Drosophila melanogaster: one gene and its partner. The protein of the gene in region 1 purifies or fractionates together with the protein of each later gene. This does not show direct contact. Each region holds a gene or a part of one and is shown in the gene's direction. Other genes may lie near its edges. The genes, in order: Cyp6a22 and orion.

Region 1 (4,402 bases):
AAAGGTTGTTTGTTATTCCTTAGCTTTAAACTCTGGGATCCAAAGTAGAAAGAAATAAGAAACGAGGAGCAGGTTGGTTAAACTTCTTACCTTTGTAGATGATTAAAATCAGTCACGGTTTATAACCCAAATTATGAGATATATACTAAGATTATTAGGAACCTATCTACCATTTGTGCCCAAGAGTTTGCAGAAAAACCCAACTGAAAGAACCGAGTCTTAGAAACGCATATGTGTGGCCTTCGTTGGGTTTCTCTGCAATCAAAGGGCAACCGCAATCAATAAACTGCACATTCTATCACAATTTCGATATGGAGAATCACTTTTAGTGTCGACCGTCTATTAGCTGTGTGTAAGCTGGAGTGTCTTTGTTTTTAAGTAAATACGCTTTTGTTTTGTTAACCTGGCTGATGTAATATTCCACCACTTTAACTATGATGTGGGCGTAGTTGATGTTCTCCTCGGCAAGCATCGTGAGCATATTGATCAATGGCTTGCTGTTGCAGTTGAGGTCCTGGAGACTTGACAGATACTCCTCGCCGATCCTTCGCTCATCGTCGCGGTAATTCTGAAATAGCTGCTCCATTGTGGACTCTGTATTCCAGATCTTGATCCGGATATTGATCAAGTTATTTGGTTTGAAGTAGTCGCAGTTGCTATGTTTCGACTGCAAGGGAAAATATAACAAAGTAATTAAATGACATGAAAAGCAAAGGTAATTTGTGTGAAAAAGTTTGCACTATTAATGGGATTTTGTCGGGATATTTTGGATGAATAATGTATTAAGGTTGCGATGTTTGTTAGCGATATCTTCATCTCTGCCCATTTTATTTGTAATAAACCGTGATGCACTGAAATCTTAGGCTGCACTATGTGGATAGATAATCCTGTATACAGCGTATCTATGTATGTAATTCGTACCAGACGTAAACAATCACGCGCGTCCACAAACACAAGGTAATCTCTTACATATATACACACACACACGTACGGAATGACGACGAAAATTCAATATGGCGGCCATGAGCATATTTTCGCATGTGTGGCCTGCCCGAATAAATTAACCAATAAAGTGCTTGTTTTTCCTTTCTGTACATCGCATTTCACGCTTTCACGAAATATTTACGTTTTAGTGAAACTATCTCGTTGCTTAAATTGATTTAACGGAGATTTTCCCAGACAAAGCCACGTTTGTGTTACCACTACATACACACGCGAGTTATCAGTTCGACTTCAATTTACTTTTTCGCGCTGCAGAACATTTAAAAACATACCTTTTTAAGCTAATACATTTGTACAATCACTGCCAGACACTTTTGCGAGGAAAAAATTTCACAAAAGCACTGCTACTATATAAAAATTAGCTTTTGAAAACTCTCACGTAACAACTGCGATGTATTTTTGATGACTTACACTTAAAAGTGTGGCCGTCGACGTGAAATGGAAATTATACATTTTATACAATTTTTATTTAAGGAAATATACTAAAAATATACCATTAAGGTATTTTTTGCATTAAACCGCGTTGCCAACCACTAGAAATGTTAAATTTTAAAGTGCCTTTAAAATTGCAGTATAACTAATTAAAAAAGAAATTAATGTTAGAAGTGTTTTATTTATTTAGTTTTAATGCAATATGCACTATTTAATTTTATAGGCGTTGCCAATTGAATTAATATACCACCAGGTGGCGGTAGTGGGCGATCCGAAAATTAGTATTGTTTCTTTAACTTCATTTCTTCTAGCCAAGTAACGGGTATCTGATAGTCGAGAAGTTCAAGAAGACTATATAATAAGTCTGATATTAGATCAGATAAAAAAAGAAAGAAAAAAAACAGATAAGAAATGCAAAATTCTTATCATACTTTTAATTACGCTCATATAGTAAGCAGAGAATAAATGCATATATTGCATAGACTTTTTCTTCAAGGCGGGTGTTCTACAGTTATCTCTCACTATATCAATTGCATTAACTTGAATCACCGTTAAAAGCTCGTCAAGTCCGAGCTTCAGTTCGATTTGTTTTCAGTGCGCCTAAATTCTATGAGACGAGGTTATCTGCCTAGGTCTGTTTACACTACTGCAGCTGATTGTAAGCGGAGCGAATAGAGGCGTTGGTCCAGTGTTCAGTTCATAGTGAATCTATTCGGGGAGAGGATGCTGGATGTAGTGGCTCTACTGCTTATTGCCCTGGCAGTGGGCTTCTGGTTCGTGCGGACGAGATATAGCTACTGGACCCGGCGGGGCATTGGCAGTGAGCCGGCCCGGTTTCCCGTGGGGAATATGGAGGGATTTCGGAAAAACAAACATTTCATCGACATTGTAACGCCAATCTATGAGAAGTTCAAGGGCAATGGAGCACCCTTTGCCGGATTTTTTATGATGTTGAGACCTGTGGTCTTGGTCACAGATCTGGAACTGGCCAAACAGATCCTCATACAGGACTTCGCCAACTTTGAGGATCGGGGAATGTATCACAATGAGCGGGATGATCCTCTAACTGGGCATCTATTCCGCATTGACGGGCCCAAGTGGCGACCCTTGCGCCAGAAAATGTCCCCCACCTTTACCTCAGCTAAGATGAAGTATATGTTTCCGACGGTCTGCGAGGTGGGCGAGGAACTTACTCAAGTTTGTGGCGAGTTGGCGGATAATGCCATGTGTGGAATCCTCGAGATCGGTGATCTGATGGCTCGCTACACTTCGGACGTGATAGGACGGTGTGCCTTTGGCGTGGAATGCAACGGCCTCCGGAATCCCGAGGCGGAGTTCGCCATAATGGGCAGGAGAGCCTTTTCAGAGCGTCGCCACTGCAAGCTGGTCGATGGATTTATAGAGAGTTTCCCCGAAGTGGCCAGGTTTCTGCGCATGCGCCAAATCCATCAAGACATTACGGATTTCTATGTGGGCATCGTTCGGGAAACTGTGAAGCAGAGGGAGGAGCAGGGCATCGTGAGGAGCGACTTCATGAACCTGCTGATCGAAATGAAGCAGCGCGGTGAGCTCACCATCGAGGAAATGGCCGCCCAGGCATTTATATTCTTTGCGGCGGGATTCGACACATCCGCATCAACGCTAGGATTTGCCCTGTACGAGTTGGCCAAGCAGCCGGCACTGCAGGCAAAGCTACGCGAGGAAATCGACCAGGCTCTGCGGTTACACAACGGTGAATTCACATATGATTCCATGCAGGAGCTGCGGTACATGGAACTGGTCATAGCAGGTGAGCCCGACTCAAAACGAATTTTAAATATTACAAAGATGATACCATTTACCACTGTATCTTTTAGAAACCCTTCGGAAGTATCCCATACTACCGCAGCTCACTCGGATCTCCAGGCATCTCTACGCAGCCAAGGGCGATCGTCATTTCTACATCGAGCCGGGTCAAATGCTACTGATACCGGTCTACGGCATCCATCATGATCCCGCCCTATATCCCGAGCCACATAAGTTCATCCCGGAGCGCTTTCTGGCCGATCAACTGGCGCAGCGACCCACCGCCGCATGGCTGCCCTTTGGCGATGGACCGCGAAATTGCATTGGAATGAGGTTTGGCAAAATGCAGACGACCATTGGCCTGGTCAGTCTGCTCCGAAACTTTCACTTCAGCGTCTGTCCGCGAACTGACCCAAAAATTGAGTTTCTCAAGTCCAACATTCTGCTGTGCCCCGCCAACGGAATTTACTTAAAAGTCCAACAGCTTAGCCAAATGAGTAGTTAGTGCTGCTTATTAAATCGCTATCTGGATTGTATTCTAACATTTAGTATCTACATTTTACAATGCTGTTATACAAATACACAATCAAATGTTTTTATCAATCAACGTAGTAGGTACAGTAAAACTGCTGTATATCTAATCAAGCTTCTTGAGCTTAATTTGTTCGATTAAATATTTGTATTTCGTCACTGACGTTATCTTAGCATTTCACCAGTTCCAGGGATTTTAAATAATGAAATCTGTTTTCCAAGTTTCATGCTTAATTTGTACATTTACGTTGGCAAAAACCAAGTTTGCAAAGAATGCAATAAAAATTACTGGAATTCGCTTTGTTTATATTTTTTTGATTGCGTAATCGCTAGATTGTTTATATACAGAGATTGTATGTATATAGATTGTTTGTTCATATATGTGTATACAACCATTTTAACTGCGCATATGATTCCCTAATTATTATTTATCACATTGAGAACAAACCTTAAGAGAACTTGAACGGTGAGTTTTGTGTGTGAAAATGAGAGATTGGCGAAAAGAGCGAAGTCCTCATACGCGAATGAGCTTGCGTTGTGGCATCCCACTTTAAAGTCAGTTTGTATTGGACTCTGGACGTGAAATGTTGTTACTGGCGCTAATCGTTGTGATACTATCACTGCTCGTCTTCGCGGCCCGACGACGTCATGG
Region 2 (8,198 bases), on another chromosome or scaffold:
GAGAACATCTCATTGGAAGCCCCTGCTGGTGGTGTGGCCGATGCATTGGCGCCACCTCCAGCTCCACCTGCAATTGCGCCCATATTATTCGTTTCGGCTAGCAGAAGATCTCTCCGAATAGCCACCTCCATTCCGCTCTCCGGCAAAGTGATCTGCTGCAGCGGAAAGTGGAAATCGAGAGCAGCCGGTGGACTCATATCCATGGCATGATTGCCTTCTCTCAGTAGATCATCTTCGTTGCTATCCTGGCGGATAACCACACCGGTTTCGGCAACTACTGAAAGATCCGGTGGTAGGGCGACCTCCATGCCGGGCACTCTCATCGGCACCAGCGCCTGAGAGACATTCCTTCTGCTATGAGCTCCCATTCCCAGTCCAGCTCCACCCGTTGCCTCATCTCCTTCGGGGTCCCCTTGACCAATCATGCGCATCGATTGCTCTGGATCCGCTTCAACCTCAAAGTCCAGATCTGAGTAAAATGGGTTCGACCGATAGCTGGAGGTGATCACTTGCGGATCGCGTGACTTCAGCGACACTTTCTTGACCACGTGGCGCAGATTGCAGCTTAGATTGTCCGTGGGATAGCAGTGGAAAAGCTTGGGCGGCTCATGCCGTCCCGTGCCGTAGCCATGATAGCCCGGCCCGCTAGATGACTCCACCACAGCAGCCAGCGCAGGAGGGGCCCGATCTCCAGTTCCACTGCCAACATCATCACTTGTTTCCACAGCAATCTCTAAGAGGAACACAGCCAGAGCCAGCAGATGCTCGGAAACATCACGTGTGTGAACTGCACGGAAAAATATCGACAGGATGGTGGAGTGAAAGATGCGCGAGTTCAAAATCTTGCAGGGATCACTGAAGGAGCTCGTTGCGGGCAGAGCATGAGGCAATCGGAAGGGTGGCCATAGGTTACCACTTGCCGGCATCTTATCCTTGCTCTTCACATAGTTTGTAAAGCGGTCCAGCGATGATTGAAAGTCTCGACGATGAACTGCTCGCAAAAGGACGTGCAGCGGATCGTAGTGCTTCTCCCACACCTCGTCGATGGGCGTGAAGAGACCCTGCTCCAGGTTCTCGCTCCCACTCGACGGAGCCTTGTAAACCGATAGCTTCTTAAGGAAGGTCTCAAAGTTTTTGGTATGCACATTGCCCGACCGCTCCGGCATTAGTTCAAGGAGCTGCGAATGCGTCTTGTTCTCGGTAGCCAACAAGGCACTGATCTCAATAATGCATTGGGTGGCTTCATCGTTTCCCAGATTAGTGCGACTCGTCACCAGGGTGGCCAAGAAGGTTAGGAATCCCTCCAGCATCGAGGATTGCTCCGCCTTTTGAGGCTGCTTCAAGGGAGCTGTCTCCAGCCATTGACCTACGTCGAACAACTCGATGGTGTTCTGCAGAAAGAAGTACTGCGGCAGGTTGGTGGCACAGATTTGCAGGAAGAACAGGTCCATGTCGGCCATCGAGTTGCAGAAGTTCGCCTGGATATAGGTCATCGCTTGTCCCTTGATTTGGAGACCATTGCGCACCCATTTTCCGGCCAGGATCTCGTAGAAAAAACTCTAAAAACGAAGTAAAAATAAATTTAACATTTAAATTTAATTTTATATACAAATTTTATTCTATTCTCTTAAATATAAAAAATTATTTCACGCACATAATCTTTATTTAAAATTAATAAAAATAAAAAAAAATTAAGTAACCGTACACCAGCGAGTGCGATAGTTATGAAACATCGATGACTTGCGAGCAGACAAAGTTATCGAAACTCGCTGTGACCTATGCTGTCTATCTGCCCCTCCCCCTTCCCCGACAACCGACAAAGAACGGTGCAAAACAAAGAAACAGAGCCCGTCTCTCCGCATATTTGTGTCTGTCTGTGTGTGAAACAGGGTGTCTACAGGCGGCGGAAAAAGAAGGAAAAGAGACAAGTGAAACCCACAACTGTACGATTTTTTAATCAATCTCCGAGCGGCGAGAGCAGCACAGCAGATTAATCTGCCAACGTCGTCGAAACTCGACGCTCGAGCTCGAGACAAAACTCGACTCTCTGTTTTTGTGACTATCCTCCCATTTGCGTTTTGATTTTCAGCGGGCGCAGTTGCGTGCCAGCCCGTGTCTATCTGTCTGTCTGTGTGTTTGCTTGTTTGTGCAAGCATTTAATCATAATATTTAAAAGACACCCCACCATCGTCAGCACAACATCCCCAACGATCGTCAAATTTCGCGCTGCAATAAATAAATAAACATTCATATACAAAACGAAACCCAAATAGCACTCACGCACAGCCGGCTGCAGGATGAGATTTATAAATTGGGTACTTCCCCTGCTTCTGGCCACGTTGGTCGCCCTGCAACAGCCCACACTAACGGACGCTCTGATCGAGGATGTCCTGGACATCATACATGTGGTCAAAGAGGTCACCTCCGGCGTCCTCAAGGCCTGGGACATTGTACAATCCTCCCCGTTGGCGGCCAACATTGATTTCCCACTGATGCGCGAGAAACAGAAGAAGGTGTTGCAGCGCCTCAAAGAAGTCAGCAAGCAAATAGACAATACCGAAGATCAGGTGAGTCAGCGGCAAGCTAAGACCGCTCTTTAGCTCTTCTTTTGTGTACCCTTGCAGTGGGCATTGCCAATTTGGTGAGCTGTTTGCACCATAGATAATAGATCTAATCGCTTGTATGCTGCAAGGGTATAACAACCATGGCACATATCAACTGTATACCTAACCCACACAAAAAAACCCACTTCAGCACGCTCAATATGTTGCCTTGGCCATCGAATCGGTGACTAGCTTCATGCACAACAACGCTCCAATTATGGCTAAGATGAATGATATCTCGGACACGATCAATAGGATCTCATCGCGCTATCAGCAGATGCAGAAGTACGAGGCTTACAAGGACAAGTTGGAGATGTCCACGCTGATAACGTTTGCGGAGTGGACAGTGTCGCCGAATGCACATTCGGTGCACCATCTGATGGATCGTCTGCATATCACTCTACTTGGCAACGAGGATCGATCTTCCAACACAACGTCCACCAATCTACTCCAACAGCTGGCCACTGCCTATGAGGTAATATAGTTTATGTGATATGACGCTTATTACAGGCGAAAATTTTGGGATCATCGAACTTAAAGAGCATTTTTAGCTTGAGTCATTTTGAAAGACATTTTATCAACCGGCTCCATCCACTGGGATAACTGTAAAAGAAGCTAAATTTTTAAGCCAAAAAACGTATTAACCCAGAAGACAGTCAGAAAAAAGGAAAAGTGTAAACAACCATTTGCTTTGATTACATTGTAGGGTGCTTTGAGCTGAGGCATGCTTCACTGTAAAAATACGGATTGTGATTGGGGTGTCAATTTGTGAATTGCTTCCTGCATGCCTGTTAACCGGATGATTCACGAATGATGCTCGCCCGGGATATGATATAGGTCTAGACACGAGGTTTTAAGCATTGTAAACTCGACTTTCCGGTTGACGCGTCAGTTAAGTCGTTCTTTTTTTCTCATTTTTTTTTGGCAAAAGAAAGTCTTGCAGTGTATTAGTCACCGTTTCTTTTGTCGCCAAATAACGGTTAAGGCCTCTGCACGCACTCTCTCTCACATGGAAGGCGCACAAATGCTCCCATTTCTTGCGGGTGTGTGCGTCTACTATTTGTGTGAGGTCAAAGGTCTTGTGTCAACAAAAGACTGCGAAACAAGTTAAACAAAACAAAAAATACACAAACAAACGCCTGAGGGCAATGCAGCAGTTTTGCCCCCATGCTGCGAAAAAGAGAGCAGAGAGCGCATCTCTTTGTGAGTGCATTGCGTCACGAAAAAACGGAAAGAGAGAAAGGAGAGTGCTTACAACGCACTCACTCAGCTGTTTGCCATACCAATTAGACGTCAGCCGAAACAAAAACAATGCGGCCACAACTTTCTAGTTATCGATTGCTAGGTATGCAAGTGCCAATATGATCTCCAGTCGATTGAATAATTAAGCTAACTGAGTAGGGTATTATTGCTGTGTGTGAAACCGAAAAATCAAACGAAATTTGCTGAATTCCTGATTACTGCTCACACAAGCACAAGTGTTTTGTGTGTGTGTGTGTGTTTACGCTTCTCATATCGTCTGGTTGTTAAAAGACCAACAACAATGCATGAAAAAAGAGCTTCAGTCAGCAATTTTTTTTCGTATTGTATTTTCAACGAGCACACATCAACACGAACACTTACACACACACACAGACACAAACAAACAATCGCTGAGCGTGGAGCGCTTTAAAGCAGAAACTGAAAAATTACAGTAGCTGAACAGCACTCAGAACCACAACACCCAGCAGAGGCGAGCGGGAATTAAAGTAAATCGCAAATCATAAAAAATCGTGAAATCTCAGCTGTATCGAGGACGAGCATTCTAAAACGAGGCTCGGATTCTTTGTTTCCAATTGAAGGAAGTTGAAGTTGAAGTTGCGGAAAGCAAGCAGTGCACCCTGCTGTTGCTCTTCTTCTTGCCTTGCCCTTTCATTAGCAGCAAAGAAGTAAAACCTCAAATACGAAGTATAAATAGAAGAAGCAGAAAACCCAAGGCTAGACAAATTGGAAACATACAGGGATACAATACAGGGACAGGGAAATCCCCGTATTTTATATTCGCTAGCTGGATACATATCTTATCGGGCGAGTAAATATGGCGCCGCCTTTCGGATTATTAGCTGCTGTTGTTGCTGTTCTTGTCACGCTTGTGATTTGTGGAAATACAAAATCGGCGTCGTCCGAGGGATGGATGCACCCAAGCACCCCACAAATGGAAGTGGACGCTCTGCGCACCGAATACATCGCCCTGGAACGCGCCCTGTGGAATTATCTGGCCAAAACGGCCAATAGTCAAAACAATAAGGAAACACAGATAAGGAAAGTATACGATTCGCATCGCGATTTCGATGCGAAACCCCAAATGAGACGCACCTTCGAGGAGCATCGCTACAAGATCCTCAATCACTACGAATGGTCGCTATTGGAAAGGGATCTCATTTATATCAGCAAGCTTTACGATGCCTACAAGGTATTTCGACTCTTATACGGGCTGTTTTTTAGATAGATCATAACATATTAACTCCTAATTATCCGAATAGGACACCTTTGTCAAGCAGAGCAACAGCGTCGAACTGGATGAACTTGCCGTTTTAAATCTAGCCGGAGCAATCCTGCGCAACGATAACACCGCCTCAATGCCACGAATCCTGCAGGAAATCGAGCGAGTGATGGTTTCTCAGACCCTCTACTACCGAGCCATGATAGTTAGTTAACCCACCCATCAGCAATATGAAAATTTCAATACGTACAATATTGTTGTGATCATATGCACTTTAAAACATATGCACAAAATCAAAACAGGAAATCCCTTGTTCCTTATTGAAAGCGAAAAAAACCTCGCAATATCTGATCACATTTTAAAGTAGTAATTTTCAAATTAAATTCTCGTAAAAACATTAGATATCATATTTTTTATACGATTCCAAAATGCAATAGCTAATTTTACACCCCCACGCGATCTGTAATTACCGTTCTATAATAATAATAATAGTGGTATGGAAAAGATTTTAACAGCCAGATGTGATGGCTTGCTAATTAGAGCTAAAAACAAGAGTAACACTACCTGGTAAAGAATGCCAGATGGATAGAAGGAAAAAACAGCTGAATATTGATCATATTAATGAATTTCGCAATAATATGAACAAATTTCTTGCTTACAGGTGTCTACCGATCAAATTTGCAATACCATGCAATCGGCCCAGCAGTTTATATACTCACTATATGCGGATATAGCCCTGACCGAACTGAAAGCCTACACCATGATGGAATTCTCGTGGATGATGTTGCGGGTCTACGGGAAGGGCAACTACACCCAGGAGGCGGAAATCATGCGTTCCGAATATGAGAAGAGGACGGAACGCACACTAAAAATACTCAAGGATGTGATGCTACGAGCTGATCGTATCGTTTACCGCTGTGATCCGACGAAACATGTACGGGGAGTCACCTATGACGAGGTCACGCGCCTCCTTCAAGGCTACATTGAAAACGAGGTGGATTTGAATAAAGAGGAAACTTGCCGAGAGACGTGTGACTTTTATCAGTCCACCCGCAGTGAAGGCTGCTTTAAGGATCTCTACTGTTCCCGTCAGCCGAAATGTAGTGGTCGTCTGTACAACTGCAGGTTCGTAGACTCCGACATGTGGGTGTGCCCGTCGCCACAGAATAGCACGCGGCGCTATGAGTTCATCGAGTACGAAAACGGACGCGTCCTTGGCCAGCGGGGTAAGTGCACCAGGGGCACCACCAAGGTGGACAGCTGGTGGCGTTACCTTCTCTGGCACTGCAGCTACTGCTTCTGCCTGTGCGACGAGGAGGGTCTGAAGTCTGATCGTTTCTTCAATCTGCGGGACACGATCGCCGATGTCAAGCGCAACCGGTAAGTTCTAGTTGAATCTGTTGATTTTGAAATATCAACCACATATTTACTAATTATTCTTCAGAGTCGTGACTGGTTTGCGTTTTGTAAAGCAAAATCGCATTTTCCATCTGCAAATCCAGGAGGGCGAACTCCTGCCTCGTGGTATTGTCAATCAAAGCACTCTGGAATGGAAACCCGTGGAAAAGTACAACGTCTTTGATCGTCATGTGAAGAATGGCGTTGATTATCATAAGTTGAGCTACGAGAAACGCACCATCGATCTGGACGATGTGGATACGGATGACAATTCCTTTGTCGTTACCGGCGTGCGATTCCGTGTGGTGGGCACACATCTGAATTTGGAGGCCTACTACAGTGAGTTTGATTTCCGGACGGGTCAGCTCATCCGGCCGGAGTACAATAGCTATTGGAAGTCCAACGACAATACCGATGTCAGCGGCGCACGCAGGTAAGTGTGTCCTCTATTTTCGGATAGCAAAAACTAAATAACTAACCCCTTGATTTCAGGGAGAAACTGCGTCTGAGCAACGCCGACGTGTCTACGCGGACAATAGCACACTCGATACCTCTGTCGCGCCACAATCAGTACATCGACTTCACTAACACTGGACTGGACAAGGATGCCGCCCAGAGCACAGTGCCGTTTATGGACATCCAGGACGTGGTCTCGAATCCACCAGTACCACTAGCCGGCATTGGCATTTACTACAAGGGCCGCAACGGCTACGGCGGCTTCCTGGGCCCCAAGATCATCACCTACGACTTCATGCCCCACGTTCAGGTGCCAAAGAATAGATTCTAAAGCGGAGAGAAGCGGTGCTGTTTCCATCCCGCACATATGTCATAGCTTTTTTTTAGTTGTACACTACCTATCAATACACACTTGCGTTTAACTGTCGCATAGTCTAAGTGAGATCAGAGGAGAACGAACCGCAGGAGATGCAGAATCCGGCAAGACAAGAATATAAAAACAAATTATATTGAAAATAACAAAAGAAATAAAAACGAATGTGAATCTGAGAAACCAGAGAACCGAGGACCTTCTTACTATTTAAAGCGAAAATAAGCGAAATAAAGGATTGAAGACTCACCTGGACGCGAAGTGGATGGATCATCAGCAGGGGCAGCAGATAGGGGCGTGAGGGCAGCACATCGTTCAGACTGATTCCCATTTTAGTTACCGCCTGGCAAACAAAGGCAGCCAGATAACGATGCAGGGGAAAGTGGAACGAAGCCTGCATCATCTCCTCCTGCACGGATAAATAAAAGGATTTTATTGAAACTGCAATAAACGGATTGAAAATACCAACCATAGATAGACGCGCCTCCATAAAGTAAATAGAGTCTAGCCACTCGTGCAGCGTCGTCACACAGTAGTTGATGATCTTCTTTGCCAGATGGGCATGTGTGCCATCCTGCAGATGCGAGATAATCGACCACATGGGATAGGCACTGGCCTCAAGCTCACAGGAGAACGCCGCATAGTAGCTATTTGGCTCGAATTCCACATGAGAAGCCGTCTCGCGCACATTGACATTCATGCCCTGGAGCATCTGGAGAAACTGGAACCACATATCGATGAGATTGTCGTCCCGCAGAAAGACCAGGGCCACCGATTCGTGTGAAAGGACGTTGTTAAAGTCCGAGACTAGTGGCCAGTAGCAGTGGTCCTTCATCACCTGACGCGTGCAGTCGATGACGAAATGAAAATTCTTGTTGGGATCTGAACG

The links.
Region 2: the proteins of Cyp6a22 (region 1) and orion purify together in Drosophila melanogaster (affinity purification with mass spectrometry, with the first as the bait; one large-scale study listed by BioGRID). This does not show direct contact.

Annotation. Positions count from the first base shown.
Region 1 is NT_033778.4:14,869,646-14,874,047, forward strand, and holds Cyp6a22 (cytochrome P450 6a22), read left to right. Parts: upstream 1-1,720; 5' UTR 1,721-1,884; intron 1,885-1,992; 5' UTR 1,993-2,157; coding exon 2,158-3,223; intron 3,224-3,290; coding exon 3,291-3,724; 3' UTR 3,725-3,820; downstream 3,821-4,402. Other genes in the region: Pcf11 cleavage and polyadenylation factor subunit, read right to left, coding at 404-586; Cyp6a17 (cytochrome P450 6a17), read left to right, coding at 4,335-4,402.
Region 2 is NC_004354.4:7,940,776-7,948,973, reverse strand, and holds orion (orion), read left to right. Parts: upstream 1-2,065; 5' UTR 2,066-2,297; coding exon 2,298-2,567; intron 2,568-2,754; coding exon 2,755-3,078; intron 3,079-4,288; exon of another isoform or gene 4,289-4,680; coding exon of another isoform or gene 4,681-5,055; intron 5,056-5,125; coding exon of another isoform or gene 5,126-5,290; intron 5,291-5,746; coding exon 5,747-6,465; intron 6,466-6,529; coding exon 6,530-6,916; intron 6,917-6,975; coding exon 6,976-7,270; 3' UTR 7,271-7,496; downstream 7,497-8,198. Other genes in the region: Ubr3 ubiquitin ligase, read right to left, coding at 1-1,559, 7,560-7,718, 7,779-8,191.